Linked DNA regions of Canis lupus familiaris. The protein of the gene in region 1 binds, or shares a complex with, the protein of each later gene. Links are inferred from orthologs where the notes say so. Each region holds a gene or a part of one and is shown on either strand. Other genes may lie near its edges. The genes, in order: PDHA1 and PDHB.

Region 1 (16,145 bases):
TTAACGGCCCTGCTCACTCCTTTGTGGAGTGCTCTTCTCACTGTAACCTAGTCATAGAGGTGGAAGGCATCAATAAGGTCTCTCAGTCCAGGCTCCTGATAGTGTTGAAGTCCTTCTTCTAGCCATTCTGACATCTGGTCTTGCTTTGAACTTTTGCTTTGAATACTTTTGGTGACACCTATAAGGAATCATCTCCTGGGACAATTCTCATTTTAGAAAAAAATTGATTGTTATACTCAACCGAAACCATTTTATTCACACATATGCTCACAATAACTTTTCCTCCTGGAACATGACTGGTATGAAAATGTGTAAAGATGTATCTAATCCTCTATGGTTTTACTGTTCAGCCTCTTTTCTGGGTTTCCTCCTGACAGGAGAATTATACTTCAACCTGTTGAACTCAGATACGGTTGTGTGACTAGCTCTGGTTTATGGAAATTGAGAGGACATGACATGTGTCACTTCTGGGTAGAAGCTTTGAGAGCCAGTTTATTTATTTATTTATTTTTTATTTATTTATGACAGTCACAGAGAGAGAAAGGGAGAGAGGCAGAGACACAGGCAGAGGGAGAGGCAGGCTCCATGCACCGGGAGCCTGACGTGGGATTCGATCTCGGGTCTCCAGGATCGCGCCCTGGGCCAAAGGCAGGCGCCAAACCGCTGCGCCACCCAGGGATCCCTATTTATTTATTTTTTTTAAGAGAGAGAGGCAGACACACAGGCAGAGGGAGAAGCAGGCTCCATGCAGGGAGCCTGACGTGGGACTCGATCCGGGGACCCCAGGATCACGCCCTGGGCTGAAGGCGGCGCTAAACTGCTGAGCCACCAGGGCTGCCCTGAGAGCCAGTTTAAATGATCCCTTTGCCTTTTACGGTACAGTAGGTACAGTAAGTTGCTGACAGATGCTATTCCATCAGTTTGAGTGCCAGAGTGAAGATGACATGGAGCAGATCCCAGCCAAGCCGTGAGGGACCTGAAGTGTAAACAAGGTGACTTGAGTCCTTGAGTCGGTTCAAGTTCTTGGAGTTCAAATTGTGGTTTCAGCCTCTCACCATTCTGACCACTGTCCCCTGGATTCCACCCATTTTTGACAACATTCCCCTTACATGGGGACCCCAAATCTGAACCTAGTATCCCAGGTGTAACCCCACTGGCCCACAGTCAGCTCTCTGACCTGGGAACTCACTGAATCGAGCCTAGACTTATTTTTGTGTTTGCTTCTTTGTGTGTGCTTTTATTATCAGCTGTGTCATGCGGCTGTTAACTCCCGTTGAGCTCGCGAACCAGTAACTAGAGCTAAAGGCTTTTCCCAGCTGATCTCTCAATATTTACTTGGGGAATTGATTTTTAGATCGTAACTCAAGTACACAGGGCAGCATTTTACAACTGTTACATGATCTCTTAAAGACAAGTTAGCAGCAGAACCATTTACAGAAACCAGAGGTTCCGTCTCGGCTCCGACCACGCCATGAGTCTTCATCTTGCCGTGCATTGAACGAAGGCTGCCAAAGTGCAGCCCCGGCGAGACTGGGCGCACGGCAGGTGGCCCGTACGGTTTCCCGCCGTGCACGCCTAACCTGAGTCGCAAAACTCCATGAAAAGCCATTTTCCCGCGGGGTTCCGGAGGCGGGGCTCCACTTTCCCAGGCGGACGCCCTCAAGTTCCCGCATCCCCGCCCGCCCGTGACGTGATGACGCAACGAGCCCCCCAGTGCCCGCCCCCTATGGCGCCAACACCCAATGAGCGGCCGCGGACCTCTTCGGTGGGCGGGACACGCAACTGGGAGCCCGCTTGGTTGGCCTGCGGCCTGGCGCGGCGCGTGACGAATTTCCGTTTCGTCGGTCGTGCTGCAGTTAAGGCGTGGCGTCCGCTCCGGGCGCCTGAAGGAGACTTGGGAGATTTCGGGGCCGCGCCGCCTGTGTACTTGGGAGTCGCCTACGCCGCCGCCGCTGCCGGCAATCCATGAGGAAGATGCTCGCCGCTGTCTCCCGCGTGTTGTCGGGCGTCTCCCAGAAGCCGGTGAGGCAGCAGCATGGGCGGCCCGGGGTAGGGCGCGAGCGGGGTCGAGGCGGGGCCCGACGCGGGAGTACGGCCAGGGCTTGGGGGCGCGCGGTGTGGTGCCTCTTAGGGCGCTGCGGAGCGGCCGGAGGGTAGCGGGCCTTTTGTTCTGCCTTCGCGCCTGGCACTCGGCTCCCTGCTCCGGGACTAGCGGCTGCTGGGCCCATCAGCCGCAAAAGGGGGGAGGGGAGCTCTACCAGGTCCACGGGGAGGTCAGCTGTGACTCCCGGCGCTGGCTACAGTAGGTGTGCTCCAGAAATGCCCGTTCATTTACTGCTGACAGAAAAGGGGGCCTGGGGCATCCACGAGTCCCCAGTTGATCCTGCCCATTCATTTGAAGTCTTCCTAATTTTGTTCTTCTTGACTAAGAGGCCACGTGGTGTGTTAAGAACGTGAACTTCAGAAACTGGTCCTGTTCAAACACCTGCCTCACCATTTACTAGCTCTGTGAGCTTAGGCAGGTTTTTGTTTTAAATCTCCCTTGCTCGGTTTCCAGCTCTCTAAAGAGATAATACGAGTATTCACCCCAAGGGGTTGTCCTGAAGCTTAAACTCTTGACATATATGTAAACCTTGCCAAATAGCGCCTGGTATATAGTAGGTGCTATCTGTGTTAGATGTTATTTCAGGGGCACCTGGGTGGCTTAGTGGTTGAGAGTAGGGCTTTGGCTCAGGTAGTGATCCCGGGGTCCTGGGATCAAGTTCCACATCAGGCTCCCCACGGGAAGCCTGCTTCTCCCTCTGCCTATGTCTCTGTCTTTCATGAATAAATAAAATCTTTTTTAAAAATGTTACTTCAGTGCCCCCTTGGGTATACATTTGTGAAACACCTTCACCCAGCTCTGGAGGGTTAAGTCTGGGTCATGCTCACCAGAAATCACCACCCCTCCTTTCCCACAGTGTTGAGTTTTTCTTGGCAGTCACTTCCAAGAGCAGTCAAGCAGAACCCGGAGGAAATTGCCCTTCTTACACGCACACGCTTAGGGTAAAAGTAGCTAAAGAAAACAGCTTTGGTGCTTGGGAGAGTGGGGTTAGAGGTCAGCACTATTTATGGCTCCAGTTTTTAGATGTGCCTCAAGCCTTCCAGCATTTTGACCTCTAGGTATGGGGAGGTAGTATTACTGGGTAGAACTGTAGCCAAGCTTGACTTGCAGTTCAGGTTCTAGTAACTTCCAGGACTTTGTGGCAGTTCTGCTTACTGTGGGCAGAAATCATTGAAAGGTAGGAAGTATACCCTTTTGGGAATCCCATTGACTGAAATAACTACAAAACATAATTGGGGGGAAAAAAAACACAATTTGGTTCATCAGTCATTAGCATTTAATTGCAACTAGATCCACCTAAAGGATAAGCTCATTTCAGTGTTATTTCTGTATATCACATGATAGATCCAACATTTCTTGAGATCTTAATATGTGCCAGATGCTAGGCTATTTAATCTCCACAACTTCAGTTTTTAGTTGAATGTAAGTAATGGAAACACGTGTTCAACTTTATATGAGAATCTTAGTTTTGTATCATGTTAAATTTAAAGGGTTGTAGTAGAAAGGAAAAACTTTGATAGAATTGGTGATGTTCTACAGAAAAAAATTAGTGTATGCGTTTCAAATTACTGTCATCTCTGTGTCCCTAGGAACAGAGAGAAGCCATTAATATTAGAGGCTCATTTGCTCGGCTATCCAAAATATTTCTGGTTGTGTTTTTCAGTCTTCCAGCAATGCGTTGGCATGAAATGCTTCATCTCCATAAAACTTTGGTCTCTTCAAAAAATCATATACTACTGCCCAAATCAAATAGAAATGAATTTTGAGGGCAGCCCAGGTGGCTCAGCGGTTTAGCGCTGCCTTCAGCCCAGGGCCTGATCCTGGAGACCTGGGATCGAGTCCCACGTCAGGCTCCCTGCATGGAGCCTGATTCTCCCTCTGCCTGTGTCTCTGCCTGCCTCTTTCTCTCTCTCTCTCCCCCCTCACCCCCCTCTCGAATAAATAAATATTTTTAAAAAAATGAATTTTGAGTTCTAGTAATTTGTTAACTGGATAAGATCAGAGTAGAATATAACTTCATTTAGTCAAAAATTGTTATTGAGAGAAAAGATTATTACAGCGGAAATGGATTCCTATGTATAACATTTCTTCTATTTAATTAGTTTTTTTAAAAATAACCATTAGAGAGATGCCTGGGTGGCTCAGCAGTTGAGCTTCCACCTTCAGCTCAGGGCGTGATCCCAGAGTACCGGGATTGAGTCCCACATTGGGCTTCCTGCATGGAGCCTGCTTCTCCCTCTGCCTATGTCTCTTGCCTCTCTGTCTCTGTCTCTGTGTCTCTAATGAATAAATAAATAAAATCTTAAAATAAAAACGATTAGAGACAGTGACAGTACAACATTTTCCCTTACGTTCTCTAAGATATTAAACACCTACTTTATACAATGAGTTTTTTGAAAGACAAATTCCTTAAACTTATTTGTATCACCTGTGCTTAGAAAGTGGTTGTTTCTGTCTTGATGGGAGTAACATCTGGTATGCTTACTTATTTTTAAAGACACTTTTGCAAATCAAAGTGTCAAACCCAGAATGGGAACTTGGCAATCTGTGGAATAAGAAACTTACCCAGTTCATGACGGTTTCAAGTGTGTTTCCTTTCATCTAACAATGATTTTTTAGCATTAAGAAGTACAGGTTCAAAAAAGTATTGGTCTCTGATGATTTTAAAACAAACACTTTGAACACTCTAAGTAGCGTAGCCTGTGTTAACACAACTGAAACCTGATAAATAAGCACATTAGATCCAAGAGCCTGAAGTGCACTGAGCACTCTGGGGACATCTCATCAATAATTACAGTTTATGGAAACACTGATTACCTGATTTGCTCTGTTGCAAGGATAGGGAGCTATTAAACTGGGTTTGGGCCCACAGACACACATAATCTACAGTTAACAGATAATTCTTCAAAGTATTTTTCTGTGCCTTAGTATAATTAATGCCATATATGCAGGCAATAGGTAAAACAAAATAGCCAGAAAGAGGGGTGGCTCAAAGTAAGGAGCACTCTTTCACTGTCTAATATATAGTCTGTCATTGTTGGTTTCAACTTTAAGATCTTCTCAGTGGGTTTGGTCTCTACTTTTATTAAGTTTTTTTGAATTCCAGTTGACATACATTGTAATTTCAGGTGTACAATACAGTGTTTCAACAAGGTCTTTAGTTTTATTTATTTATTTAAATATTTTATTTATTCATGAGAGACATAGAGGCAGAGACACAGGCAGAGGAGAAGCAGGCTCCATGCAGGGAGCCCAATGTGGGACTCAATCCCGGTACTCTGGGGTCACGCCCTGAGCCGAAGGCAGACGCTTAAGCGATGAGCCACCCAGGCGTCCCATTATGTCAGTTTATAATCAGTGTTTGAAAACATGGCACAATGTGACAGTACAGTAATTGTAATTGGTTAAGTGTTTTGCGGTCTAATCTGGACCTTAGCTGTCACGTAGAGTACCTCTGTTGTGAGCAGGTATTTTCAATTGAAAGAGTGACAGAGACATTTCCCCAGCTTTTTACCACCCAAGCGATAGCAGCCACCCAAACATCAAGAAGGGAAAGCTGGTTGCAGAGAATCTCTCTCCCTTCTGAGGCTTCTGGAGGAGCCTGTCCAAGATCTGAGCTGTTCAAATTATACAATGTCCGTAGAGTCCATTGAGTATCTTTCTTTTGTCTTCTAGATTTCTCACTAACACATGTCTCGTACCTTGAGTAGTTTAAAATATTTTTCTTATGGAGCCATTTCATAGAGTAGTGGTTTGCCTGAAATAGGAATTGGATCATAGTTTTATATGAAGAATAATTCTGACAGTTTGTTCAATGTCTGGTTATGACTGCAAATAGCAGAAATAAAGCCCACAGGCTATCTAGGCTATCTCTTTAATTTGGCCACTAAATTTATTCTATTTTCACTGTAATTTCTTTGGAAACAAAATGCCCAAAAGGATGGGTTTGATTTTGCCTCCCTTTCTCTTTTTGCTGTTACCCTTCAGAGGTGGGTATGATCATGGTTCATTGGCCAGAACATGGATTCATTTTGAAGGCAAGATCCCAACACCGTAAAGAGAATGGAGGGATAGACCCGTGAATATGTTGGGGCTTAGGAAAATTCCAGGATTGCATTCTGAGAACTGATTTATAATACCTGACAATAAAACATACTGATATATTTGTATATTTTGGTCTTTCAAGGCAAGCAGAGTGTTGGTGGCCTCCCGTAATTTTGCAAATGATGCTACATTTGAAATTAAGGTAAGAGGTGTTTTGCTTTGTGTTAATAATTTTTCCACAGGTAAACATATTTACACAGTTTTACCTTTGGAATAGAACATTTTGATATTCATGCTTTTTCACCATTTTATTCTAAATGTTCTAGTGTCAGAGGTTCAAAAAAGTTTAGCAAAAATTAGAATTCACTCAGCAGCTTGCTGTGTTTCGGGGAGGGGACAGGGTATGGGCTAAAACAAAGACTTAATCTAAAATTTAGAATGTGTTTCAGTAAAACATTTCAATAAGAAGTTTCTTTGGGGTGCCTGGGTAGTGGTGAGTTGATTGGCTTCCTTTGGCTCAGGTCATGACCCAGGGGTCCATTGGGCTCCCTGCTCAGAGGGGAGTCGCTTCTTCCTCTCCCTCTGCCCCTTTCCCAGCTCATTCTCTCTCTCTCTCTCTCTCTCTCATAAATAAATAAATAAATAAATAAATAAATAAATAAATAAATAAATAAATAAATAAATAAAAATCAATCTTAAAATTTTCTTAGACTATTCCTTTCAAAGTTTGTCTTTCAGCCTGTAACTCCTTTGACTTCCATGGGTTTTCAGTGAAAGTCATCTTAGATTTCTTGCCTCCAAAACTAGATCCTCTCACATAATGAGCTTTATGATGAAAGGAGTCAGAAGTAATATGCAGCATTTCTTATGTGCTCCTCTGCTGGTTTTTGAGTTAAATATTACTGCAATAAGATATTAGATCTCTAAGTGGGTAGTCAGTGTTTACATTGCAGTAGCTGGAAGTTAACTGATTCCATTTCAGAAATGCGATCTTCACCGGCTAGAAGAGGGCCCTCCCGTCACCACAGTGCTCACCAGGGAGGATGGGCTCAGGTACTATAGGATGATGCAGACTGTTCGCCGAATGGAGTTAAAGGCAGATCAGCTGTATAAACAGAAAATTATTCGTGGTTTCTGTCACTTGTGTGATGGTCAGGTGAGTGGTGGTTTTGTAATAAAACAATGTTAGATGTAGGAGTTTAAGTATGGTTTGTATTTATTGGTTTTTACCCTGCCTTATGCCTCTGAAGGATTTGAGGCCTGCCTGTCAGAATAAAGATGAGCATGCTGAGGCCCGCTACTAAGCTCATACTAAAGAATTCATGCACACGTCCCATTGCTGGTGTCTTGCACCTTGATGACTTTGTGATCACCTATAGTGCATATACTCATGGGGGAAAGGGTTTTTCACTTTGTGTTTTGTTTTGTGGGTTTAGGCCAAGGGTTACGAATTAAAATGCCTATGGGGACCAGCTGGGTAGAATAAATTAGTGAAGAAAGTGGGACTGGTAGTGAACTGGATGAAGTGGGCCAGGCCCTTCCCACTAGGGGACACCATAATTTGGTTCCAGCCAGTTGGTGCCATATGGAAATACAGGGTTAATGCTTCCTGTTGGTCCTTCAAGAGAGGACAGAAGTGTTGATTTTCATATGAAATTCCCCTAATATTAATGTTCCCCCCAAAGTAACATTTAATATTCAGGATTTTTCTCCAAATCACTGCATGGGCTTGAAATAGTACATCTATGGATTATTAATTTGTAGCTTCTGGCTTGAGCTTTACCTTCTATTCTGTTTGCAGTGAAAAATCAAGCTCCTTTTGTGCTTATTAAGAGTTCTACTAGGCTAAATTTTCATAATAGTCTAAGGATTTTGTCTAGAAATGTGTATTGTATTGATTCATTGCTGCTTCTTCCTTTTATGCAGGAAGCTTGTTGTGTGGGCCTGGAGGCTGGCATAAATCCCACAGACCATCTTATCACAGCCTATCGGGCTCATGGCTTTACCTTTACTCGTGGCCTTTCTGTCAGAGAAATTCTCGCAGAGCTTACAGGTTTGCTATTGATTTTTCAAAAAGGGGAAATCAGTGAAATAAATTTGCAGATCTCTCATATTAAGATGCTATTACAACTTAATTAAAACGGTTTTGAGTTAAAAAAAAATCTCTCTCTTTGGGTTCTCTGTTACCTCTGTTGTGCTTTTGAGTAAACTTACCATTTTTGAGGTCATTTGGCCTTTAGGTAAAAGTTTTAAAATGTTAGCTTCGTAAAATCATAATACTGTTTGTCACTCAAGCATGCCAGTAGAAATTAGCAGTCATAGAAAGTAAGTGGAGCAGGAGTATTTCATTGTATGCAATTTAAATTCTAGGAAGCTTTTTAATATTCCCTTTGTCCCCCTTGACTCTTGAACTGTTCAGTGTACCAATGTAGGATAAATCGGAAGATGTTTGTAACTAGCGCCAAAAAAAGGCGGGGGGGCCGGGGTACCATGCTGATGTTTAAAGGAAACCCCATGGTCAAGGAGCTGGGAAGGTCAAAGACATTGGCCTGGATTGACCTTCATTCAAGGACTGGGAGATAAGGGTGGAGTATATATTTGCCTAGAGGGATGGGTGCTTATAGAGTTGAACTAGCCTGTGAGTTCTAGTGGTTGATGAGCCTCTAAGTAGATACTTGGGGTGTGGTTTTCTTTTGTTTATTTGCTTTCTGATGTGTATGTGCACATGCTGCCATTTGTAGGACGAAGAGGAGGTTGTGCTAAAGGAAAAGGTGGATCGATGCATATGTATGCCAAGAACTTCTATGGGGGTAATGGCATTGTTGGAGCTCAGGTAATCCATGACAAGGATGAGGGGATTGCATGCTTTCCTAGATCTGGCCCTGGATCATGTCTTAATGTTTCATCCCCCAGAGAACTTCCCTCTGAAATATTTTAGTACTTTGGAGGCTGAGTGGACTTTAAAAGACCTATTGCTTCATAGCCTACCATTTTATCAGTTAATAAATAGATTTGAATAGTGATATTTTTTTTAATTTTTTTATTTATTTATGATAGTCACAGAGAGAGAGAGGCAGAGACATAGGCAGAGGGAGAAGCAGGCTCCATGCACCGGGAGCCTGATGGGGGATTCGATCCCAGATCTCCAGGATCGCGCCCTGGGCCAAAGGCAGGTGCCAAACCGCTGCGCCACCCAGGGATCCCTGGATAGTGATTTAAAATTCTCTTAGGTGTTTAGTTTTATATGTAAGCAAGAGCCCCTAGCAGCGGCCTATACCTTTATTATGTTTAAGTACATTGATTGCTTTGTCACATCCGCTTAGGCCTTCCTCTCCCTGCTGTAGACTGCGGTTGAGGGTATCTGAGGAGGAAAGGCAGGTGATCAGGATCTTAGGGGCCACATTAGACATCACTTCAGCTTTTGTGGTTATGTAGTCCTTTTTGTTCTCATCAGTTAGTGAATAATGAAGTATCAGCCTGGGTGTGATATGTAAGTGATGAATCACTAAATTCTCCTCCTGAAACCAATATGATGCTCTGTTAATTAACTAGAATTTGGGGGATCACTGGTCGCTCAGTGGTTTAGCACCTGTCTTTGGCCCAGGGCATGATCCTGGAGACCCGGGATTGAGTCCCACATCGAGCTCCCTGCAGAGAGCCTGCTTCTCCCTCTGCCTGTGTTTCTCTCTGTCTCTCATGAATAAATAAATAAAATCTTAAAAAAACTCAAAGAAGTAACAACATAAAATTATAACTGGATTGTTTGGCTCACTTTGTAATGTGACTTTGCTGTATGTTAAAAAACAGTTTCATATTTTAGCTCTTTAGTCATTGAATCTTTACAGAAGTGTTATTTAATGGTTGAAATAGAAGAATTATTCATGTTGCTTTACCAGTTTGATTATAATTTTGGGGGTAGGGTAGAGAGTTTCTAGTGACAGTGTAATTTCTGTTTTAAGTTCTGGTGAGAACTTGAAATGCAGAGCATTAATTTCTCCCCTCATGGATTTCTGTGGTTCTTTTCTTGGTTGTCCTTAATATTAGGTGCCCTTGGGAGCAGGAATTGCTTTGGCCTGTAAGTATAATGGAAAGGATGAGGTCTGTTTGACTTTATATGGCGATGGTGCTGCTAATCAGGTGAGTATGTGTCTCTTGACTTTGCAATAACCATTGCAGTTTTATCTCCAAAGTGTTTAGTCAGAGTTCATTTGTAGCGAAGTAGTCTATTGCCTAGTAGTTGAAGTAGTCATATTGGGGCAAGCTAGAATTTGGTTTTATGGCCAGATTACAGGTATACTTTGTGGCACGTTGCACAAGTGCTTAATACGGGCACACACCCAGGAAGAAGCTCTCCTCTGCCTCCAGCTCAGTGCTTCACACCCTGTGGGTGAAGGACCTTTTTCCAATTTAACCCAGTGCAGACTTGTTCTTATACCAATCCTGTAATGTACAGACTCATTCTCTTGGAGAGCATGGCATTGGCTCATGGTTTCTGAGCCCTGGCTCTTTCTATACTTTTCCTGTCACGGTCGGAGTCCTCACCATTCCACAGACAACACTCTGAGGCCCTGCTCCGGATGCTGATTCTCAGTCATTGGTTCACTCTGGTTGTCCAGTGGGTCTCCTAGGATTTATAACAAAGCATAAAACTAGGTAGTCACAAAGTTTTACATGTTTCTCTTTTCCTACTATATTCTACACCACTGCCTTGGCCCCACCGAAACAAGTGGTGGAATTTATTTGGTTTGTCACTTCCTTCGGTTGCAAAAAGAGATGATGCTTGCCGTTTCTTCCTCCCTCACCAACACACTCCTTTGCCTCAAAAGCTCCGCTGTGGAAGGTGAAGGAAGCTTTTCATGTTTTATGAAAGGTCTCGTGCCAGGAAGAGCAGCAGCTTTTGGGGACAATGAAGAAGTCTAGAGAAAAGTAGCAAAATGAAACTACTTGAACTGTTTATACATACTTCCAGGGTCAGATATTTGAAGCTTACAACATGGCAGCTTTGTGGAAATTGCCGTGTATCTTCATCTGTGAGAATAACCGCTACGGAATGGGAACGTCTGTTGAGAGAGCAGCAGCCAGCACTGATTACTACAAGAGAGGCGACTTCATTCCTGGGCTGCGGGTAAGGGCGCCTGGTGTGCAGCCGGGACTACCCCTTCGCAGCGTGATAGCTCTGTGTGGGTCCTTGACAGTCCCAGACACACACAGGCGTTCTCTGTTCATAGCGTGTGAACGGGTCCTGTAAAATTGGTTTGACACGGTTTGATTTATGCTCTGCCCTTTCCGTGTATGAACAGGTAGATGGAATGGATATCTTGTGTGTCCGGGAGGCAACAAGGTTTGCAGCCGCCTACTGTAGATCTGGAAAGGTAAGACTCAACCCTCTGGGCTAGAGATGTCCATTGACATTTATCTTAAAAGAATGTCTCCCATGTGTCTATTGTAGCTCTTCAGGGGTTGCTGGTAATTAGTTGTGTAGAAGGCAGGAGCAGAGTCCAGTGAATTGGGTCCCTTTGTAAATACTGTGGTCTTGATAGCTTACCTCTTAGGAAACATCCCACATTGCCCCTGTTTGGGGTGAATCTTTCCTCTTGAGTGCTTCCTCAGCATTTTGCCTTGTGGTTTGGTTATTTTTATTTATGCGCCTCCAACCTCTACCCACCCACCCCCACCTGCCACCCTGTTAATCATAATAAGCCCCTTGAGTGAGCATATTGGGGACCCCCCTCCCAGTGCTCAGCACAGAACTTTGCTGGGATAATAGGCATTTTGTGTAAGCTCATCTTCCATAATTTAAATATTACGGTTAAAGTATGTAATCTTCACCTTGCTGTTTCAGTCCTGAGAATCTGGACCTTTCAGGTAGAGCAGTAGAGGGAGAAGGGAACAGTGAGGTTGGCTTAGATGCCAGCAGAGCAAGTGGAAAGGATGATGTTCTCCCTGAATTGGTGTTCACAGCCCAGAAAGCATGCCCCTAGGGTTTACCTTTCCATGACACCCCTGTGTGGGAAGACTGGGCTACCAGTGATGCAAATGGAGAACGAGGGTGGAGCAGGGAGGGAAATGTGGGGGGGTGCTGCACATGAGAACAGAGGAATGAAATCAAGTATGGCTGAGGTGGCAGAGAGCTCAGCAGTCTACGTCGGGACTCCAAGACTAGAGAGGTATAGACTTGAGCGGTGGATATCATTCCCCTCTTCCCCAGTTCCTGAAAGAACATGTGGAATACAAACTTAACGTGGAAATAGGATCACTGGTTTATAGTGTTGACTTTATTTTATAATTTTATATATACTGGTTTATATGTGTTGACTTTCTCAGCCTCATCTTGGAATTAGGGGAGAGTCTAGAAACCCCCTTAGCCTAGCCCACTGTTGTTTTCCAATAGCTCCTGGGTGGCGCAGAACAGAAAAATAGGTGAAAAATAAATCCTTATTGAGGGATTGACCTGGGTCAGGTGATGCAGTAAGCACTTATGTGTGAACCAACACAACCCCTGAGTTAGGTCCCTCATCTGTACAATAACTAAGGCACAGAGCAGTTTAAGGGTACGTAGCTACTATACATGACAGCCCAGATTGGATCCCAGGCTCTTGGACTGAGAGCTGGGCCTCTCCCTTTGCACCCCACCCCCAACTACTACACCACACTGCCCAGGGATCCTAGATCCACCCTCTTCCCCTCAGTGTTCAAAGCTGTCTTCTGGAAGGGGGCTAGTGAAGGAGGAGCAAACTGTCCTGGGTGTGGTCGGGCTGGCCAGCCGAGTCCTGGGGTTAATCATCATGTGTTGTCTGTTACCACCAACGTTGTTACACACTAGCCGCATCTGTGCCGGATTGGTTGTCAGCCCTTATAGGTGAGGTGGAGATTGACCTACCCAGCCTAGTTTTAATTCTCCCTTCCACACTTTCCAGCACATCTAGAGGTCTGCTTTTAGTCCTATTCTGTGGGATTTTGTATTGTATTTTTCTGTACCTTTTTAAAAGAATCCAGATGCTTGTAGATCATTCATATGTGCCTGAGGGGGAAAAACTAGCTTTATTGGCCCTGAAGATAAAAACCATCCCCTTCCTTGCTGTCATACCTGCCTTAATGGGTTTTTCTGCATTAAATCTCAGCTGTTTTATAGGATTATTCTATGTCAAAGGCAGTGCTGATGAAATAATATCAGTGGGCTCTAGAACATGCTGAATGCCTTTTTGATTCAGAAACTAAGTTCTTGCGGTGCCTGGGTAGCTTAGTGGTCTGCCTTTGGCTCGGGTCGTGATCTTGGGGTCCCCGCCCCTCTCTCTCTCATGAATAATTAAAATCTTAAAAAAAATAAAAAGCAACTAAGTTCCATATAAACTAGAAGTATCAGAAAGGAGAACATAATTCTTAAGTCAGTCAGCTAATAGGAAATTCTTGACAACTCAGCCAACTTACAGAAAATCCAATGAGAATATCTTTGATTCTGAAAGGATGTGCTGTGCTCATCGTCTCACTGGGTTGTTTTAGGGGCCCATATTGATGGAGCTACAGACTTACCGTTACCATGGACACAGCATGAGCGACCCTGGTGTCAGGTATGGTCATGGGAAATCTGGGTGTGGTGTCCCTGGGTGGGTGGGCTTTGTATGGTGCTACTCATATGAAAAAGCAAAGCATTTCAACATTTGCTTTGGAAGCCAGACACCAGTGGGCTTCATGCGGTGAATTTGTTGGTATCGAGTAATTATTTGAGTCTTTGCCTGGAAGCATTCGGAAAATCCTTATTTGTAGTATGTACATGTTAGCATGAGCAGTAATGAATTGCAGAGAAGGGGGCACCTGGCTGGCTTAGAGGGGAGAGCATGTGACTTGGGATTTGTGATGTTATGGGTAGAAGTTACTTTACAGAGAGAAACTGTTGGATAAAACAGGTCAATGGTATAGCATATATATATTTAGGGACATGTAGCTTTTGTAGGCATTACCCAAATATAGAGTTGAAATGTGAAAACTTGGCTGGTATGGAGTGAGGCCACCTGGCACGTGGGATATTCAGTATATTGAAATCAATCGGTCAAAAAAAAGGTAAGTTACATTAGGAAGATAGTTTTACTTGCCACTTAGTGACCCTGGCATGTAATGCTGCCATCCCAGAGTGTGACAGAGTTAAAAGTAGTAGATTTAGTCAATAAGCCCTAACAAGCCTGAGAGTAGATTGGTATTCTAAGAGAAATGTTATAAAGAACAACTTAGATGGAAAAATGTACTTGGTATTTTCAAAAAAACAATAGAGCCCTTTTAGTGGTGGTTGGAAGATATAAGACAAGGATGTATGTACAGTTGACCTTTGAGCAACACAGGTTTCAACAACATGGGCCCACAGATCCAGGGATTTTCTTTTTTCATTTCTCTTGACTATAACACTTCTTTCCAACTTCCGTTAAGAGCACACTATATAGACTAATACATGGAAGTAACATACAAAATACGTGTTAATAAAGTGTTATTCATAAGACTTGTTTTTCGGGAGTCAACATTTGCAGATTTTCAACTGTGTGTATGGGCGGTTGGCGCTCTTAACTGACTCTCGAACACCGTGGGGCTTCTTTTCTAGAATCAGGAATTGGAAAACCTGTGCAAGTGTTCACTGGCCTCACTTCTCTGGGCTCCTAAAGCCTGATTTCCTGCTTGGTATTCTGCTACCTGCCAGTGACGTGAGAGGGCACAGGCAGTGGCTCTACCACTTCCTTCAGATCCTACATCTGGATCAAAAAAGCAAATAAAAGCTTGGCCCCTCCTCTTCAGAACACCTGAGAAGCCAGGGGAATCGTCAGGGTAGAGTTTGCCTCTAAGATTCTAGTATCTTTCATGGAAGAGTTCTTGTATTCTATGTGCACCCTCCCCCGGTGACCGCTCTGTGTCCGAAGCCCACGTCTCTGGAGCTGTCCTTACCTACTGTTTGTCTTCCTGTAGTTACCGTACACGAGAGGAGATTCAGGAAGTAAGAAGTAAGAGCGACCCTATCATGCTTCTCAAGGATAGAATGGTGAACAGCAACCTGGCCAGTGTCGAGGAACTAAAGGTAGGCTCGCCTTTTCCAGCAACCAGTTTTTTTTTTGCACCCAGAGAGCTGCCACTCCTGGGGGAGCTGCCTGGGTCAGTGGGAAAGTATGGGTCAGTCATATTCGCAAAACCTTGAAACCCAGGAGCTGTTTTTTCCTAAAAATATACTTTGGATGTTCGGTTCATAAAGAGCCCCTGTTAGTACTTCTATTCCTAGGAGAGTTCTAGTTGTACTAGCAACCTGTTCCAAGTAGACCTGCTTGTATCTATGCTGCTGTTTACTCAGTAACCTCCTGAACTATAATCTGATTTATAGGAAATTGATGTTGAAGTGAGGAAGGAAATTGAGGATGCTGCCCAGTTTGCCACTGCTGATCCGGAACCGCCTTTGGAAGAACTAGGCTATCACATTTACAGCAGCGATCCGCCTTTTGAAGTTCGGGGTGCAAATCAGTGGATCAAGTTTAAGTCTATCAGTTAATAATAGATAGTTACACCTTCAGTGGGATCCAACTCTAAGGGTCTTTGTGTTCTCAAATTTGTTAAGGAAGAAAAGCCCATAAAAAGAATATAGGCTAAGGTAGTAATTGCATGTGTTTTGTACAACAACTGTACAACAGTGTTGCATTAAAAGATGTTACTGCACACTTAGTGTGAATATTATATAAGGTTATTTTAGATTCAGATTTTTCCTTAAAATAGTTCTATTCCTTTTAATAACTGAAAAATAGTATACAACTAAATCAAAAGCCATTCATTCCTACGTTTGAGGGGAGTGGGATCATTCCCTTGACCCTTGGCAAGGGCCCCTGTGCCTCACCTAACAGCAAATACTACATGCACACCCTCCTCAGTGTGCGTGTGGGAGCTAAAGCCTCTTCACACTGACCATCATTTTTCAGTAAAAGTATATTATCTCCAGTCAGGGAGGTAGAAGGACAATTCCAGTTTTATTTTTTTA
Region 2 (16,277 bases), on another chromosome or scaffold:
CAAGCATACTGTAAATCCACTGGGAACCCTGTTTGCTCAGCAACAGATCAATTTAGGCAAGTTTAGTTTGGCTGCATTGTCTGCCTTCTCGAAAGTGTCTGCTTTAAGCACATTCGTGATAGCGGACGGTGGTGGTCTTAGGCTCCGTTACTTCTAGTATGGGGCAGAAGTGACAGATGTTTCTAAGCGAAGGGGTCTCACCCTCATAAGCTCTTTTCAGCAATTGTGTAAGGGCTGGGGCCTCTCCCATTTCTTATTGCACCTCCCTGCCGTGGAGCCTCTTCTTGAAATCCTTACCAGATTGACGGGAGAAATATCATTTCCCTAAGTCTGCTGGTGATTCCACTGGGAGAAGTAGAATTCTCTAAAACCCCATTGCTGCAATCCTTATATTTTCAGTGAGAACACTCCTTTCTTTTCTGCTAAAGGTTATGCTTCCTACCTCTGGAAAGTCACTCTTTCAAGAGCTTTAAAATTCTTTATCCTGACTTATTTCATGGTAAATATCACCAACTCATGTTTATAATCTGTATTCCTAGAACTGAGCGGTTTAGAAGGTCCCAATTTACACAAACACAAATATGCTCTTGCACTCCGTTTTGAGAGAGCGGACAATCCTGTTGCCTTGCTATTTTCTGTGTGTGTGTGTGGGGGGGGGTTCTTTTTAAAACAGGTTTGCAAAAGGGTATTTGGGGAAAGCTAAGTAAGAGGAGACCCTGAATTATTGTTGTTTTTAGTAATCATATCTAACATATTTTGGGTACTTATGCCTGGCACTGTTCTATGTGATTTAAAGTCATTTTATTTAATTGTCATAAATACTTTCCCATCCAATGAAAGTAGTTTCTACTATAGCTCTATTTTAAAGACAAAGAAATGGAGGCTCTAGTGAGGTTAAAGGATGCTAGAGCCAGGACTCAGAACTTGGTTCTGTCTTTGCTCATTTACCCCACCAATTTTGATTGAGTGCCTGTTCTTTCGGGGTGCACTGCAGAGTGTAGGCTGTTAAATATTGCTCAGTGGTGTGAAAAGAACTCTGAAAGTAGAATTGGAAAACCCTGGGCATGGGTCCCAGCTCTACCACTTTGTACCTGTGACCTTGGACAAGTAATTTCCATTCTTTGAAGAATTCCTGGTCTTTATTAGGTAATGTGCACAACAAAGCTTTATAAGCAGTAAAGTGCTATCACGTATAAGCTATGAATGCCCTGCAAGAGAATTCTAGCCCTTTTGCTTACAGCTTATAATTTAAAGCAGTAATTTTGGAGAGAGAACTAGCAACTGATAGAAAACTCAATGTGTAAGAATGAGTGGAGAGAGAGGGAAGTTCCATGTCTAGAGAGCTGGAGGAGGGAAAACAGCCTTGTGGGCACAGAGTAACTGAAAACTTGAATAATAGGAAGGATGGTTAAGAATAAATACAGCATGAAAAAGAGAGTGATTTGTTCAGAATGTTTAGAATTTGTCTAGCCAGGTCAAATGTCTGAAACCCATTCTAGGCTCAAAATCTTTGTCTCTGGCCATAAGAATTGCTTCTTTTTCTTAAAACCTACACATACACAAAGTGATTGCCATCTTTGGGATGAACAAGTCTTCCTGCTCTGCTTCTCTGAAGAGTGTGTTGGCTGTGCTCTGCTGCCTTCTTATAGCCTTCCTTCCCCATTTCCAAGCCCAGGGCTGTAAGCTCCTTCCTTGAGCCTTGGGCTCCTGTGGGTGGAGGTGGTACAGCGCAATGTCCACAATATATCCTCCTAGATCTGTCCCAAGTGAGTGGTCAGCCTGCCTGGCCCCTCCTGAGCCTCATTTCTTGGCCCCTCCCCAGATGAAACGGTTTTCCTCTGGGCAGTAGGGCACGTTGGTTCATCAGGAACTCTGGGATACATTGTCCGGAGAAGCGTTATCCTTCACATTTAACTTAGAATCCAGTCAGTTAAAGGGAAGACAAGAAGTGTTTGCCCTGCTTATTTTCTTTTTAATGGTTTTATAGCCATAAATAAGCAATGTCACTCACTCCCCAACTCAGCCTGTAGATCCCAGTGGCCGTCAAAGAGGGGCTGCTTGCCCCTGCCCAGGAGCTACCCCTTAGACCTACCCTGTGCTCTTGCTTTTCCCAACTTTAAAAAGACAGATCTCCATTTTAGACTATAGAAGACTCAATTGGGAAAAAGTGGTGAGTTCTAATTTTTCTCCCTTCTTGACTGTTTTTATTAAGCTATAGAACTAATTATGCTTCTAGTATTCCACTTCTCAGGGGGGCTTTAAAAACTTTCCCAGGTCTTTTGAAGTGAGTGTTGTGCTTATAAACAGATAAAAAAATAGCACCTAAATGGCTCTGAAACAAAACAAAACAGAAAAGTATGAAGAGGAAAGTGACTCCCTGGCAACTCTATCAGCATATTGACTCTTTGGTTCCTGTGTTAGCACATTTGCCGAATTCTAAAAGGGTCACAGATGTGCTGACATAGCAGTGCATTTTGCAGTGAAGTGTATCCTAGTTTGTTAGTGAGAATAATCAGCATGTGATTCAGACTAATATTTTGCTGTCTCTTACTATTTGATTAAATGACACTAAAATCTGAATAATGACTTGTGTCCCCTCTCTCTCTCTTTCTCTCTTTGCTGTTTTCAGTAGAGCATGCACCATTTTGAACGTGAATTTTCGGTAAAGTAAGCTATACTGATTTCTCTAACTTTAAAGATGCTCTGTTTCTGGCTGTGAAATGGGACCCAGTGCATCTAGATCACTGAAGTGATGAACAAATGGGAAAGCAGATTTGGGAGGATTTCCTTATTTGAACATTTAAATGAAATACAGCATCTTTAAAAACACTCAAGTGACTTCATTTACATTCATTTCATTTTCACCGTGACCTTCAAAATCCTCATTTCCACTCTGATTATAGTTTTAAAATACAACTCTAAAACCTGCAAATCAACTGCATGGTATTTTGTTATGTTTTAATTTGGGAAGGTAGGATCTCAGAGTCTTGATGGAGCAAAAATATTGGTTTGCTATTACTCTGATGAAGGGAAAGAGTGTTAGCCGATTGACAACTCAGTTCTTAGTTACAGGAAGACAACTCACTGACATTTTATAACTGACAGCAGGGAAAAACAGCTCTCTTTTAAGCATCCCTAATAACTCTTGAGTTCAGACATGAGGGCAGCCTCCTCATCTATCTGAGGCAAAATACCAAGGCAGTTGCCAAGAGCTGGGAGGGCTGTCTGCTTCCAGGGGTCACTGTACTCTGTTCCCTCTGAGGGTGGCTAGCAGCTCTGGTCTTGGTCTCATGGCCACGTGGTCTCCCTACTTCTATTCGTGGACCACAAAGGAACTCGTGATCTACAGAGACCTATAGATTGCCCACTGCTAAAACTGGCCCCAGAGGGGACCTCCCCCCAGACATCCTTTCCCCGAGGCTGGTGAAGATGTTTCTGGCCAAGTATTCCACCCTAGATCTAACCTATGTTCTTCTGGAACAGTCTGTGGTCTGTTCCAGGGCCTCTACTGTATTGCCAGGTTCTCACTAGTTTGGTGGATGGGATTCTGGGGAGGATAAAAGTAGTTGGCTTTTGGGATTTTTGTCTATAAGAGTAGTTATGATGGAAGAGAACTATTTGGGAGCAGGCCAATATTTTTCAAAGATGGGTGAATTCAGTTGACAACCAAGCTTTTTTTTTCCCCTTCAAATTTTTACTTAAATTCTAGTTAGTTAGCAACTGATGTTACATGGAATCTGCCTGATCTTGTCTGTGGCCTGCGGATAAGGACTATTGGGTACTTGGTGGGGGATGAGTCAGTGGCACTCAGGCATTAGGCAGCTTTTCCCAGGTCCACCTCAGACCAAATAGCCAGCTCTGAATTTGACCCATATCAATATTGCAACTGGTAGAATGTGTTGTAGCTTAAGCCCCAACGAACCTTTAAAGGAATCTTGTGGACTATAGAGGAAGTAAAAAGAAAATGCCAAAAAAACCCTGGTGGGGCCTGTCATCAGAGGCTGAATCCTTGGGTCTGTGTTCTTACTTCCTCCATTACTGACCTTCTAACTCGGGGACCTCCTTCCCTCTTCTAGAGTGTTCTGAGCTGGCAAGATGAGATTTGGCCTTGCCCTGATTATACATCAAGATCTGCCCTAGTTGTCCGCAGGCCCAGTGAGGAAGAGTGGGCCTTGTGGGACAGTTAGGCCCTCTGGGTCTGGTCTGGCCCTCTGAGCAGATGTCAGGGTGACCTTGCTCCTTATCCCTGAATGAGCAGCCTCTCCTTTTGTACAACCTCGACATCTCATTTGCTTTATAAGCACAAGTTACTCTGTGATGCTTGGGACCGTGTGTTTATTTACACTACCTACATATTCAAAGAGATTCATTTAAAGTCCTAACAATCTCATCCTTTACTTGGAAACTCAAGATCCATGTACTGAACACCACCCCCAACTCCAAGCTCTGAGAGAGTCAATTTGCACTTTTAATTTTGAGTGGCTGATAATGAAGCCAAAGTCGAGGGTTGGCTCCTTGCGAAGTCCAAGCAGATTTGTTCTGTGCCAAGAGGCAGCCGAAATCCAGGTCCAGCTGCTGAGACCCACCCCTAGCCTTCCAGAATCCTGGACTGGAAGGGTGACAGGTCTCTGGACAGGTCACTCTCTGCCTTTAGCAGGGTGCAAGTGCTGTCGTAGCCCAGAGCTTGTCTTCTTTCTTGTTACCTGCAGTGACTCTTCTCCACGGTCAAAGCACAAAGCTGACAGGCAGAAATTCTGGAGCCCATTCTGGAACACAGTGGGCCCTGTGTGTCAAGTGCAGATTCTACTGTCCTTTGTTGGCTGTTGGGTGGTGGGGTATCGGAGCCTGCTGGCTCCTCGGGGGCACTCTTGGTGCTACTGCTAGGTCCCAAGAGCCTTCAGAGACACACCCCCACCCCCACTGGGATTTCACTGGCCACTTTCCAAAAACTCCCTCAGAGGAATGCTTCTAGCACACTTATCCTCCCTGCTCTTCTCACCTCAGCAGTTATTATGGGTTTAAAGTCTTTTTTATCTTCGTAACCTTGTAACATGAAGCTGGGAACATTTTTCCAGGAGACATCCTGGCAGAGAACATAACAGAACATCATTCATTTGTTGTTACTGTATAGAACCAGTGAGAATTACATTTTGTTCATTTGTTTGTATTTAACGTTTATTCATATTATATTTTCATTTTTGAGAATTCTAAGATTGCAGAGCATGAATGTGTGTATCTGTGTGATTCTTTAATTTCAGCTGCCTTCGGTTTTAGTAAAAGATGTAACGAAGGTAAGTGGTTTTCTATGAAATACAAGACTTTGAACCATTATGTGGCACACTTGGTAAAAAGGATCTCTTAGCGAAGTATTTTATTGGTGATCCTGAACCACTCGTCCATATAAACTCAAGTGGTAATGGTATGCTTACTTGTTACCATCACAGCTCAGTAGCAGGTTGGAGGGGAAGAACACCTAACAGAGTGTCTCGCTAGGGTAGCCCTGGGATGGACCAAGGGCAAGGCTAGAAACAGGGGAGTCACCAAGTGCTGCAAGGTTCACAGGAAATGGGGCAGCTAACTCTGTGGCACAAGCAAGTTCTTTAAAGCAGGTCTTTTGCTGTACTCAGTTTTTATCTTGTCCTAGGAGAATAATTCATTCATCTATTCAGAACTATAAATGTCAACTGCCAAGTGTTCATGTGCCTGGAAGCTAAGTTTTAGATACGTGTCCAGATTCCTTCTCCTCACCCACCAGGGTAGAGTCTCTCCTGATGGCTTCAGCAAAGACGTAGGGTTATTACCGTTCCATTCTGTTCCTGGTTTAGGCCGCAGTGGAAAGAAGGTGCTGATGAAGACTCATCCCTGAGAATACCATTGCCAGGGAAAAGAGCCTTCTGCCCCTTGCTTTGCACTGTTAACAGTTATTAGCCTATTATATTTCTAATGCAGCCTAATAGAAAATGATGATTGGAGACACAGGCCCTTGGGGAACCCTTAACCCAGCAGGCACTGGTTCCTTGCCGAGAATTCTGAGTGGTTTGTCATTTTCTATTAAATCACGTCCTTCAAATGTTGTGTGTGTTGGAGCAGCTAAAGAAATGTTCATCCTTTATCAGTAATTGATATTCAGGTAGCCCAACTCTGCATACAAATGTCTATTTTTACTTGCTAGCTCAGTAGGTGCCCTGGACCTGCCTAAAACAGCTGATGGAACTTTGGGATCATCGCTAAAATTTGGAAATGGAGTTAGAGCCTCATTTACACGGAGAACGGAGAGAATGTCACTATGTATAGTTTCATGTAATCTTTGATATTCAGTCTTAGTTGACTGTTATCTGGGGAAATTAATTCCTCTTTGATGCTTCTAGTTTTCTTGTTCAGCATTTTAAAAAAACATACAGGACCAGGTTTTCTTGGTCCCTCTGTGGGAAAATATTTGCAGTCTCATCAAAGCGTGTTCCATCCAGGCCTGGGCAGTAACATGTGTGCAGGGTGTTTGGAGAGATGAATCTGACTGTCCCCTTTCTCCCAAACCTAGGGATGTCCGCATTACCTCCACCTCCTCCACCTCCGCCTCCGCCTCCACCACCAGCAGCTCCCTTGCTTCCTGCGAGCACAGAGGCGCCTACACAGCTCCCGCCCCAGGCTGTGAATGGTGTGAGTCGAGGGGCCTTACTCAGCTCCATCCAGAATTTCCAAAAGGGAACTTTGAGGAAAGCCGAAACCTGTGATCATAGTGCTCCTAAGATCGGCTAAAGCTTCGTGTTTACACTTGGAGGGAAAAGTTCGTTGTTTTTTCCTCCCACCTCCAACCCCTAACGTACTCTTTTTTCGGATGAATAATTGCTGAGCCAGTACAGTCACATACTGTTTTCAGATGCTCATATAAGAGGCTTCTCAAGAGGGAAATATTCAAGTAGAATGAAGTCAGGCTGGCATTTCTGCCTTAAGAAATCCTTATTTTGCTCCTTTATTACCATTTTAAAGGAGTCTTATTCATCTTCTAATGGGCATCTTTTGGGGGCAGCAGCATATCTGAGTCAACCTTTTCACCAATTGAAGGAAACGGACAAAAAAACCAATGACAATATTCAGAACAGTGAATGACCTTTGTGTTGCAATCCCTCCTTTTATGTCAGACAGCTCCCAGAAATGTTCCTCTCATTTCTCTATAAAGCATTTTCTGGTTATTTCTTAGGTAACTCCCATTTTTGCTACCTTATTTTGTCTTCGACATTATTAACACTGTAGTCCAAAGCATAGTTATGTCGAGGAGTGAGAGAAGCAACTGAGTTCTTCCTTTTCCATTCAGATAGTCAGGGGCAAGTCAAGCCTGGAACCTCTCTAGGTTCTAACAAGAATACCATTGTGGTTATAGAACTCAGGGCTGCGAAGGCAACCACTCTAGACTCATAGTTCCTTTTAGTTAGAGTGTATTGGACAGGAAATGTTAATATCAGAAAAAGCTCTTGCTGATTAAAGGATCTTCATCCTCAGCAATAAAGTCAAGTTTGTGGTTTATGGGGGGTTATTATTACCACACAAGTAAATTTGGCGTTCATAAAAATCAATTCTGATTTTTTGAAAGGTTTATCCAAATATATCATCTTTTTAATGTTACTCATTTATTAGATCCTTTATCCTATGATTTGCTTAAACCCTTAAATAAATTGCACTTTAAAGGATTATAAATAATCCATTTAAAAATTCAAGTACACACATCAGTGTTGGTTACTATGCAGAGAGAATGTCATTGTGTATAGTTTCATTTAATCTGTGATAAATGTTCAGCTGTATTTTTTATTAAAATAAACCATGTCAAGAAAGTATGTTGTCTGTAGCTTGGTGCTAGGCATTTTAAGTGGGAATTCTTATAAACAAAGAATAGATCCACACAATATTTCTGGTTTCCTTCCCACCTATCCTATGTCTCTTTTGTGTCATATTTTCCCTCTTAATTAACTAAAAGCTAACAATCCTGTCTTGCCATTTAAATTAGACATCCCCTCATATGCTTCTGTAACTAATTTAAATCTATCTTTTCTGTCTCAACTTCTAAAGAGGGCAGCATATGGCAGCATATCTCTTTTTCAGCAGTGGGAAAAATACCTGATACAAATTTTCATTTAATTTTGAGGGAACCCTATTACAATTGGGCATTTGAAGAGTCTGTGGACAAGTTAGTTATAAATGTGATGGCAGTTCAGGTGATTTAGCATCATTAATCTCTTTTTCTTTTTCTTTCTTTCTTTCTTTTTTCTTTCTTCTTTCTTTCTTTCCTTCTTTCTTTTCTTTCTTTCTTTCTTCTTTCTCTTTCTTTTCTTTCTTCTTTCTCTTCTTTCTTTCTTTCTTTCTTTCTTTCTTTCTTTCTTTCTTTCTTTCTTTCTTTCTTTCTTTCTTTCTTTCTTTCTTTCTTTCTTTCTTTCTTTCTTTCTTTCTTTCTTTCTTTCTTTCTTTCTTTCAGATTTATTTATTTATTCATTTAGAGAGAGAGAGAGAGAGACACACAGGCAGAGACACAGGCAGAGGGAGAAGCGGGCTCCATGCAGGAAGCCCGATGTGGGACTCAATCCCGTGTCTCCAGGATCACGCCCCGGGCTGCAGGTGGCGCTAAACGGCTATGCCACCGGGGCTGCCCAGCATCGCTCATTTCTTAATAGAAATTCTTAGCAGAATTTTAAGACCTCCACCCACCCCAGATTTATTACCTCAAGAATATAAAAATACAATTAGTCATACTTAGGAATTCTTTTATTCCTTATCAAAACAATCAAACAGCAAATGTAGATAATAGCTTTTATCTTTACATACAAGTTATCTTTTTGGATATGTCTTTCTGCAGAACTCTGCCATGTTCAGACCTTGTCCTTGTGAAAGGGTAAAATTTTAAGTTAGCCTTATTCAAAGAACATAACTGTAACAGACCAACCCCCCCCCCCCCCCCATGGAGTCTAGGGCAGGAGAGGAGAGTTTTTCCACATACAAGCACATTTAAACTTCTTCCAAGTACAAAAACATCTGTGATGTTGCTTTAGAGATAGCTTTATGAATCATAAGGTCTTACAGTACAATTCAGGTGAACTGTCAGAAAGTATTTTAAGTAAATCCCAATGACTTGAAATTCAAGTCCAAACTAGATATTTAATGTTTTCTTTATTGCAAATATGATGTCTTTAACTTGAGGTACAGAGTTGTCTTCTAGAATCTTTGCATAAGGCATAGGGACATCAGCACCAGTGACACGAACTGCAGGAGCATCCAGGAAATTGAATGCAGGGCCTAGGAGAGAAGGAGGCTCAACTGAGAGAAGCAAAAAAAAAAAGTCACTGAACACCAGCACCTTCCCACAGGAGGTATGGCTCTCCAAGGAGAGAAAACCTGAAGGAATATACTAATTATGGGGATTGTATCTGGCTTTTTTAAAAAAAATTTTACCCAAAGGAAAAAATGCCAAGGTGAAATTGAAAAGTTAAGACTTTTGGCCACCCCTAGCTTTTGCTCTCTATACAGTGTCCCGGTATACACTGTTTATTACAGCTTGAGTATTCTAGAACCAGGTTCTCTGAAATACCTTCCATAATCCTGGCACAAATTTCAGCTCCTACTCCAAACTGTGGCCAGCCTCCTTCCACAGTTATGAGATGATTGGTCTTCATGACACTGGCTTCTATTGTTTCAATGTCCATTGGTCTGATGGTTCGCATATTTATCACCTAAACAGATAATACAGATATGCTTTATAGAGCCACTGCACCACAAGTATAGTCTCATCCCCATAATACCACGCCCTGTTTTGTTTCCTGTTAATCTCAGAGTCTAGGAAAATCAAATCTGCCTATTCAAGAACAAAATGTAAAATGGGAAATGGTAATTAAAACAAAAATCTTTCACAAGTGGTTAAGAATTCACTTAACCTCCTGGGCTTTAACTTCCTTCTCATCAAAACAACTAACAACTGACTGGTCACTGTGTGCCAGGTGCTACACTGAGTGTAACAACCACCCTAATGGGACAGTAAAGGTATTCTCAGTTTCCAGCTGATGCAGCTGAGATTCAGAGGACAGATCTTGCCCAAGTTTAACTAGCAAGTGGTAGGTCCTGGACATGAAAAGGTTAGACACTGATTTCTAAGATTCCCTGTGTCCCAACCTCTAGCTCCAAGGCTGGATCCCAGCTTGAGAAAGTAAGTACTATTCTAAAAATAGGTATTTGAAAAGCAAGAAGGTTCCCAGCTTTAAGCAAAAGTGAGTGACAAAGCAAGATTTTACACTTAGTTATTAACCTGTTACAGAATTCAAACTCCTATTTCTGGGTCTTAAATTTAAAAGGAAACTTTCTGATTCTTTAAGAAGTGAATGTCTACATACCTCACATTCAATACCCTCTTTGGATAACACTGTTGCAGCTTCTAAGCAGTGGCCCACAGGTCTTGAATGAGCAACTACAGTTATGTGTGTACCTGAAACAGAGTGGTCACAGGTCAGAGACCAGGTTGAAACTAAAGCTGTTGTACTGCTCCACAGCCATTGTGGCTCTTGTTCATTTATAAAATTCAACTCTGTTCCAGTGAGGTGAGGAATGTGATAGCCTTCCTAAAAATGAAATACAAATCTACTGGACTGAGAATCAGGAAAGCACAAAAGTTTATGAGGAAAGTGTAACACATTTCTTCATTTCTTTTTTCTCAAGATTTTATTTGAGAGGAGGAGAGAGCACATGTGTGCGAGAGCAGGAGCATGTGAGGAGCACAGGGAGAGAGAGAAAGAGAGAGAGGGAGATCATTTTCAGCACCCTCCATGCTGAGTGCAGAGCCTGACATGGGGCTTGATCCCAGGACCCTGAGATCATGACCTGAGCCAAACCAACAGCTGGACACTTAACTAACTGAGCCACCCAGGTGCCTCAACATGATGGATTTCTTTTCTTTTCTTTTCTTTTTTTTTAAAGATTTATTTATTTATTTATGATAGGCATAGAGAGAGAGAGAGAGAGAGGCAGAGACACAGGAGGAGGGAGAAGCAGGCTCCCTACCGGGAGCCCAACACGGGACTGGATCCCGGGACTCCAGGACCGCGCCCTGGGCCAAAGGCAGGCGCTAAACCACTGAGCCACCCAGGGATCCCCAACATGATGGATTTCTTAACTTGATAATTTCCTAACCAAAGTAAAGGGCAGGAACTTCAAGAATGAATCGTTCGACCAGGGTGCCTGGGTGGCTCACTTAAGTGTCTGACTTTTGATTTCAGCTCGGGTCATGAAGATTGTTAAGACTGAGCCTGGAAAAAAAAAAAAAAAAGACTGAGCCTGGGTTGGGCTCCCTGCTGGGCATGGAGGTTGCTTAAGATTCTCTCTCCCTCTGGCCCTCCCACACTTCTTGGAAAAAAAAAAAAAAAAAGAATTTGACAAACATAAATACAGGAGCTAGATTACAAATACTTTAGCATGTACTAAGTGCTCTTACCTTGCCTTTCTATTTTGGCTTTTCCAATGGGAATCAGAAAATCTTTTGACTGAGCTTCGGAGGGAAATTCAAAAGGAACTCCATACATCAGTTCGTTCTCTAGCACCACCACTACAAAATACAAATGTTTAACAGAACTAACTACATGACCAAATGTATATACATAACTATCATTCATTTTGTGCAAAGTTTCACTGTGCAGATTAGGAAGCCTCCTATCTATTGTGTCCAGTAGCCCTGAGAGGATGGTTTAGGTACTGGCATCTATAGTCTGGTCAGTCCTAATTTTATCTATTGTAGTTAAAATGGTGTTGTAGGTACCTAATAGGCCCCATATAGTCAGAAAAGCAAAAACAACACCTTTTTAATGGTCTTTGCTGTATCTGTAAATCATAACATTTTATATGTCTAAGCCTAACTAGAACCCTTAAACGGCTTCCTTCCAGGCAAAGATTTCAACTTAGTTCCTCAATGTTCAAAAGAGACCCAAGGCTCACTCTACTGACCTGGATTATTATCCCGAATGGCTGATTTAATAAGTCCTTTTGCATCCTCTGAATTCCAGGGGCTGACCACCTTTAAGCCTGGGCAGTGCCCATACCAGGCAGCAAAGCACTGTGAGTGTTGGGCAGCCACACCTGCTGAGGCACCATTGGGCCCCCTGAAGACTATAGGCACAGGCTGAAGGCCCCCCGACATGTAGTAGGTCTTGGCAGCTGAATTTATAACTTGGTCAATGGCTTGCATAGAGAAATTGAAGGTCATAAATTCACAGATGGGCCTCAACCCAGCCTGTCAAATAAAAAACAGAGATCTTAGAAAAACTAAAAAGCAATAAAAAGTGGCAACCACTCCAAACTTCAATGTTTTTAAAAGGTCATGTTAAAAGAAATCTCTTTAGGATTAAAGGGGAAAGGAGAGAAAATGAGTGGGAAGTATCAGAGAGGGTGACAGAACATGAGAGACTCCTAACTCTGGGAAACCAGCAAGGGGTGGTGGAAGGGGAGGTGGGCAGGTGGGTGGGGGGATGGGGTGACTGGGTGATGGGCACTGAGGGGGGCACTTGACGGGATGAGCACTGGGTGTTATACTATATGTTGGCAAATCAAACTCCAATAAAAAATACAAAAAAAATTTTTTTAATTATTAAAAAAAAATCTCTTTAGATGAGATTCATAAAGAGGATTACACACCATAGCTGCACCCACAGCAATTCCAGCAAAGCCCATCTAGAAGTAAAACACAAACACAAGTGAAAATCCATAAAAATCAGAACAGTGTACACTTTAACATGCCCCTGAAAAGTCTGCGTCCTGATGGAAGGCTCACCTCAGATATGGGAGTATCTATGATTCTCTTATCGCCATATTTCTTCCACAGGCCTCGACTAACCTAAAATTACACAATGATCTCATTACTTTTAAGTGTATATGGGGGCAAACAGCCACCTCAATTTATATCGCTTTCACATATCTTGGGTTACCTTATATGCACCATCATACTGGGCAACTTCTTCCCCAAGGAGAAATACCTTCTCATCTCTTTCCAGCTCTTCATCCATACCTTGGTTTATAGCCTCACGAACTGTCACCTGTCACAGGTATGGGGAAAACAGCCAATAAGCTACAGGATTATTTCAGATACTACTGAGATTCTCTCCTTTTATAATTACTAGGCTGCCTACAGCATACGGTATGAAAACTATCGCTAGGACAGGCTTCTCTTTAAAAGTTCAAAGAATCCCCCCCTCAAATAAATAAATAAAATCTTTAAAAAAATGAAAATAAAAGGTGAGGGGAGGGCACCTGGGTGGCTCAGTTGGTTAAGCATCTGCATTCAGCTCAGGACATGATCCCGGGATCCTGGGATTGAGCCCTGCAGTGGGCTCTCTGCTCAGCAGGGTCAGCAGGGAATCGGCTTCTCCCTTTCCCTCTATCTCTGCCCCCTGCTTGTGCCCCTTCTCTCTCTCTCTCAAATAAATCTCTAAAAAAAAAAAAAAAAGTTCAAAGAATTCTAAAAGTAACATTTTCATACACAGTCTTTGGCTGAATTTGTTAATGAAAATACTGAATGCTTTTCTTAATGTGCACCTAAACTTAACAAAAGCTGTTTGCTGGCCAGACCAGCTCAAGTTTCCTGAGTAAAAATTCTATTCAGTTGTTTTATTTCCACAGTCAGTGTAGTATGGGACAGAAAACTGTTAAGAAAGCCTAAATAAAACTATGTTTTGAGCACTCACTAGGTACTGGGAACTTCCAAACACTACCTTCAGAATCTACAAGTTATTTTACTAGACAGATTGAGAGTCCTCTAGTTAAAAAAAAGAAAAAAGAAAAAAAGGAGGGGGTACGGGGTAGGAAATTCCTCAAGTTGAACACAGAACTACTATATGATCCAACAATTCCACTTCTAGAGATGATCAAAAGAAATAAAAGCAGGGACTCAGATACTTGCACACCAGTGTTCTTAGCAGCATTATTCACAAATCCCAAAGGTGAAAACACCCACATGTCCATCAACAGACAGAATGGAGGAACAAGATGTGATATATGCATAAGATGGAATATTATTCAACCTTAAACAAAGAAATGAAATTCTGACACATGCTACAACATGAATGAACCTTGAAAACATATGTTAAGTGAAATAAACCGGATATAAAAGGACAAACACTGCAGGATTCCATTTCCAGGACACACCTAGAATAGATAAATTCAAAGGCACAGAAAGTGCCAAAGAGGTTACCGGGAGCAAGAGGGAAATGGGACGTTCGTGTTTAAGGGGTGGAGAGTTTCTGTGTGTGATGGTGATAAAGTTCTGAAGACCGATGGTGGTCATGGTCTCACAACATAGTAAACGGAAGTACTGCCGCTGAATATACACTTTAAAATGGTAAATCTGGTTATGTATATTCTACTTGAAAAATGTAAATGGGGCGGTTGAGGGAGGAAGCGCGAGGTCTAGTTTCCTCAGATCGCCCACAGATTCCAGTGAGCCTGGCCGGGGCGACTTGCTGGTGTGTCCGGCGCTGGGTCGCAACAGAGGCACTCGGAGTCCCACGCAGGATGTGGGAACCCGTGGACCTCAGGGCCCGTGCCGTCCCTGTCCCCACGGCGCAGGCGCGTCCCTCCCGGGATTCGGGCTAGCGCCCAGGCCACCTACCTGCAGCGCCGCCGGCGCCGTCCGGTGGAAGCGCCTCCTCAGCAACCCCGACACCTGGCGAAAAGAGAGAGAGAGGACGCTGAGAGGGGGCGCAAGGCGGGCAGAGACCACGCGGAGGCACGCATGCCGCTGCCTACCTGTTCCAGGGGTCTCCGCATCAGGCCAGACACCGCCGCCATCTTGACCGTGTCCTCCAGCCGCCGCCGAATGACAACACCGCAGGACCGCAGTCGCCTCAGGCTCCGCCTCCCGCGCCAGCTCAGGCCAATGGCAGCGCGCGGCGCCTGCGTGCCCCGCCCATCCGCTGCCGGGTGAGGGGCCGAGGGGCGGGGCCTAGGTGGCGCGTGGGGCGGTACTACCGCTGTTTCTGGGGCCGGGGCCAATCAACTTCCCGGGAGCGGGCGGCTGCTGCGGTGCGCGCTGCGCGGCGGGACGCGTCTGTAAGCGGTGCTGCCTGAGGCGCGGTGCCCGGAAGGCAGGTTCTGAGGAACGTTAGGTTGAGGCTGCGGGGACCTTCAGAGTTGGGTCAGCCTTTTGCGGGCACTGAAACCCGTAGGGCGCCAAGTGTCGCCTGCGCACGCTCTGAACGAGCCCGGTGGTCCCCGGGCCGGACCGTGCTGTCCGTCTGTTGCTCCCTGGAATGCGAACCGGAGTGTTCATCGAGGCATGAAGCGCCTACTGTGTGCCGGGCATCGTAGTAAGTGCTGTCCAGCTCCTGTAATTCTCACAGGAACCCTCCCGCGTGATGACTGTTACCTCCACTTTTCCTCAAGTCACTTCGGGTTGTCAGTCGTCAGAAAGTCCTTCATCCAGAATTTTCAATCTTTTTTTTTGTTTTTTGGTTGGTCATTTCAAGCGAAATGTGTTAAAGAGAGCTTTTCGCTTCCTCGACCACAGTAAAATGCACATTCCCCCACCACCTCAGAAAGTTCCCTCAACGTTTCCTCCCGATCGTTCCCCACACATCACCCCACAGGCAACCACAGATCTGATCGCCATCACCGTAACTTAATTTGCCTGTTTTAGAACTTGACGTAAAGGGAATTCTATCATTCTTGCGTCTCGCTCAGCAACATGTTTTTGTGATTCATCCATGTCGTTAAGTGTATCAATACTTTATTCCTTTTCTTTTTTTTTTTTTTTTCTTTTATATTCTTTATGCCCAACCTGGGGCTTAAACTCATGACCCTGGGATCAAGAGTCCCATGCTCTTCTGAGCCAGCCAGGCACCCCTCCTTTCTTTCTTTAAGTTTTCTTTTCTTTTCTTTTCTTTTGAAAGAGTTTAAGTGTCACAAGAAATTGTGAAACTGGTGCAAAGAGCATCCATGTGACCTTCAACTATCTTTGCCCAATATCTTGGATGACCATAGTACATTGTCAAATCCCCCAAATTGATAACGGTGCAATGCTCTTAACTCGGGTAGAGACTTTATACAGCATTCATCAGTTTTTTTTTTTAAATTTATTTATGATAGTCACAGAGAGAGAGAGAGAGAGGGGCAGAGACACAGGCAGAGGGAGAAGCAGGCTCCATGCAGGGAGCCCGACGTGGGACTCGATCCCGGGTCTCCAGGATCACGCCCTGGGCCAAAGGCAGGCGCCAAACCGCTGCGCCACCCAGGGATCCCCCATTCATCAGTTTTTATATGCATTC

What was found.
Region 2: the proteins of PDHA1 (region 1) and PDHB are in contact, whole or in part, in a crystal structure (PDB 3EXE), measured with the Homo sapiens proteins. The link is inferred for Canis lupus familiaris from reciprocal best matches to the Homo sapiens genes PDHA1 and PDHB. Residues at the interface, in NP_000275.1 of Homo sapiens: Ile87, Arg88, Gly89, Phe90, Glu137, Leu138, Thr139, Gly140, Gly148, Lys149, Gly150, Gly151, Met153, His154, Asn164, Gly165, Ile166, Val167, Gly197, Ala198, Asn200, Gln201, Gln203, Gly228, Met229, Gly230, Thr231, Arg235, Ala236, Asp296; in NP_000916.2 of Homo sapiens: Glu59, Gln62, Tyr63, Ala66, Asp84, Pro86, Ile87, Ser88, Glu89, Met111, Phe115, Gln118, Ala152, Gly153, Val154, Ala155, Ala156, Gln157, His158, Pro297, Val323, Arg324, Val325, Thr326, Gly327, Ala328, Asp329, Val330, Met332, Pro333.

The regions. Positions count from the first base shown.
Region 1 is NC_049260.1:15,414,205-15,430,349, forward strand, and holds the start of PDHA1 (pyruvate dehydrogenase E1 component subunit alpha, somatic form, mitochondrial), read left to right. Parts: upstream 1-1,842; 5' UTR 1,843-1,965; coding exon 1,966-2,022; intron 2,023-5,318; exon of another isoform or gene 5,319-5,861; intron 5,862-6,290; coding exon 6,291-6,350; intron 6,351-7,130; coding exon 7,131-7,304; intron 7,305-8,074; coding exon 8,075-8,201; intron 8,202-8,889; coding exon 8,890-8,981; intron 8,982-10,192; coding exon 10,193-10,285; intron 10,286-11,117; coding exon 11,118-11,273; intron 11,274-11,448; coding exon 11,449-11,520; intron 11,521-13,648; coding exon 13,649-13,716; intron 13,717-15,094; coding exon 15,095-15,203; intron 15,204-15,500; coding exon 15,501-15,665; 3' UTR 15,666-16,145. UniProt on the Homo sapiens protein: The pyruvate dehydrogenase complex catalyzes the overall conversion of pyruvate to acetyl-CoA and CO(2), and thereby links the glycolytic pathway to the tricarboxylic cycle.
Region 2 is NC_049241.1:32,436,863-32,453,139, reverse strand, and holds PDHB (pyruvate dehydrogenase E1 component subunit beta, mitochondrial), read right to left. Parts: upstream 14,866-16,277; 5' UTR 14,803-14,865; coding exon 14,761-14,802; intron 14,678-14,760; coding exon 14,624-14,677; intron 13,053-14,623; coding exon 12,945-13,052; intron 12,854-12,944; coding exon 12,791-12,853; intron 12,691-12,790; coding exon 12,655-12,690; intron 12,254-12,654; coding exon 11,968-12,253; intron 11,573-11,967; coding exon 11,462-11,572; intron 10,460-11,461; coding exon 10,368-10,459; intron 9,714-10,367; coding exon 9,572-9,713; intron 9,280-9,571; coding exon 9,134-9,279; 3' UTR 8,734-9,133; downstream 1-8,733. Other genes in the region: PXK (PX domain-containing protein kinase-like protein), read left to right, coding at 5,259-5,291, 6,539-6,756. UniProt on the Homo sapiens protein: The pyruvate dehydrogenase complex catalyzes the overall conversion of pyruvate to acetyl-CoA and CO(2), and thereby links the glycolytic pathway to the tricarboxylic cycle.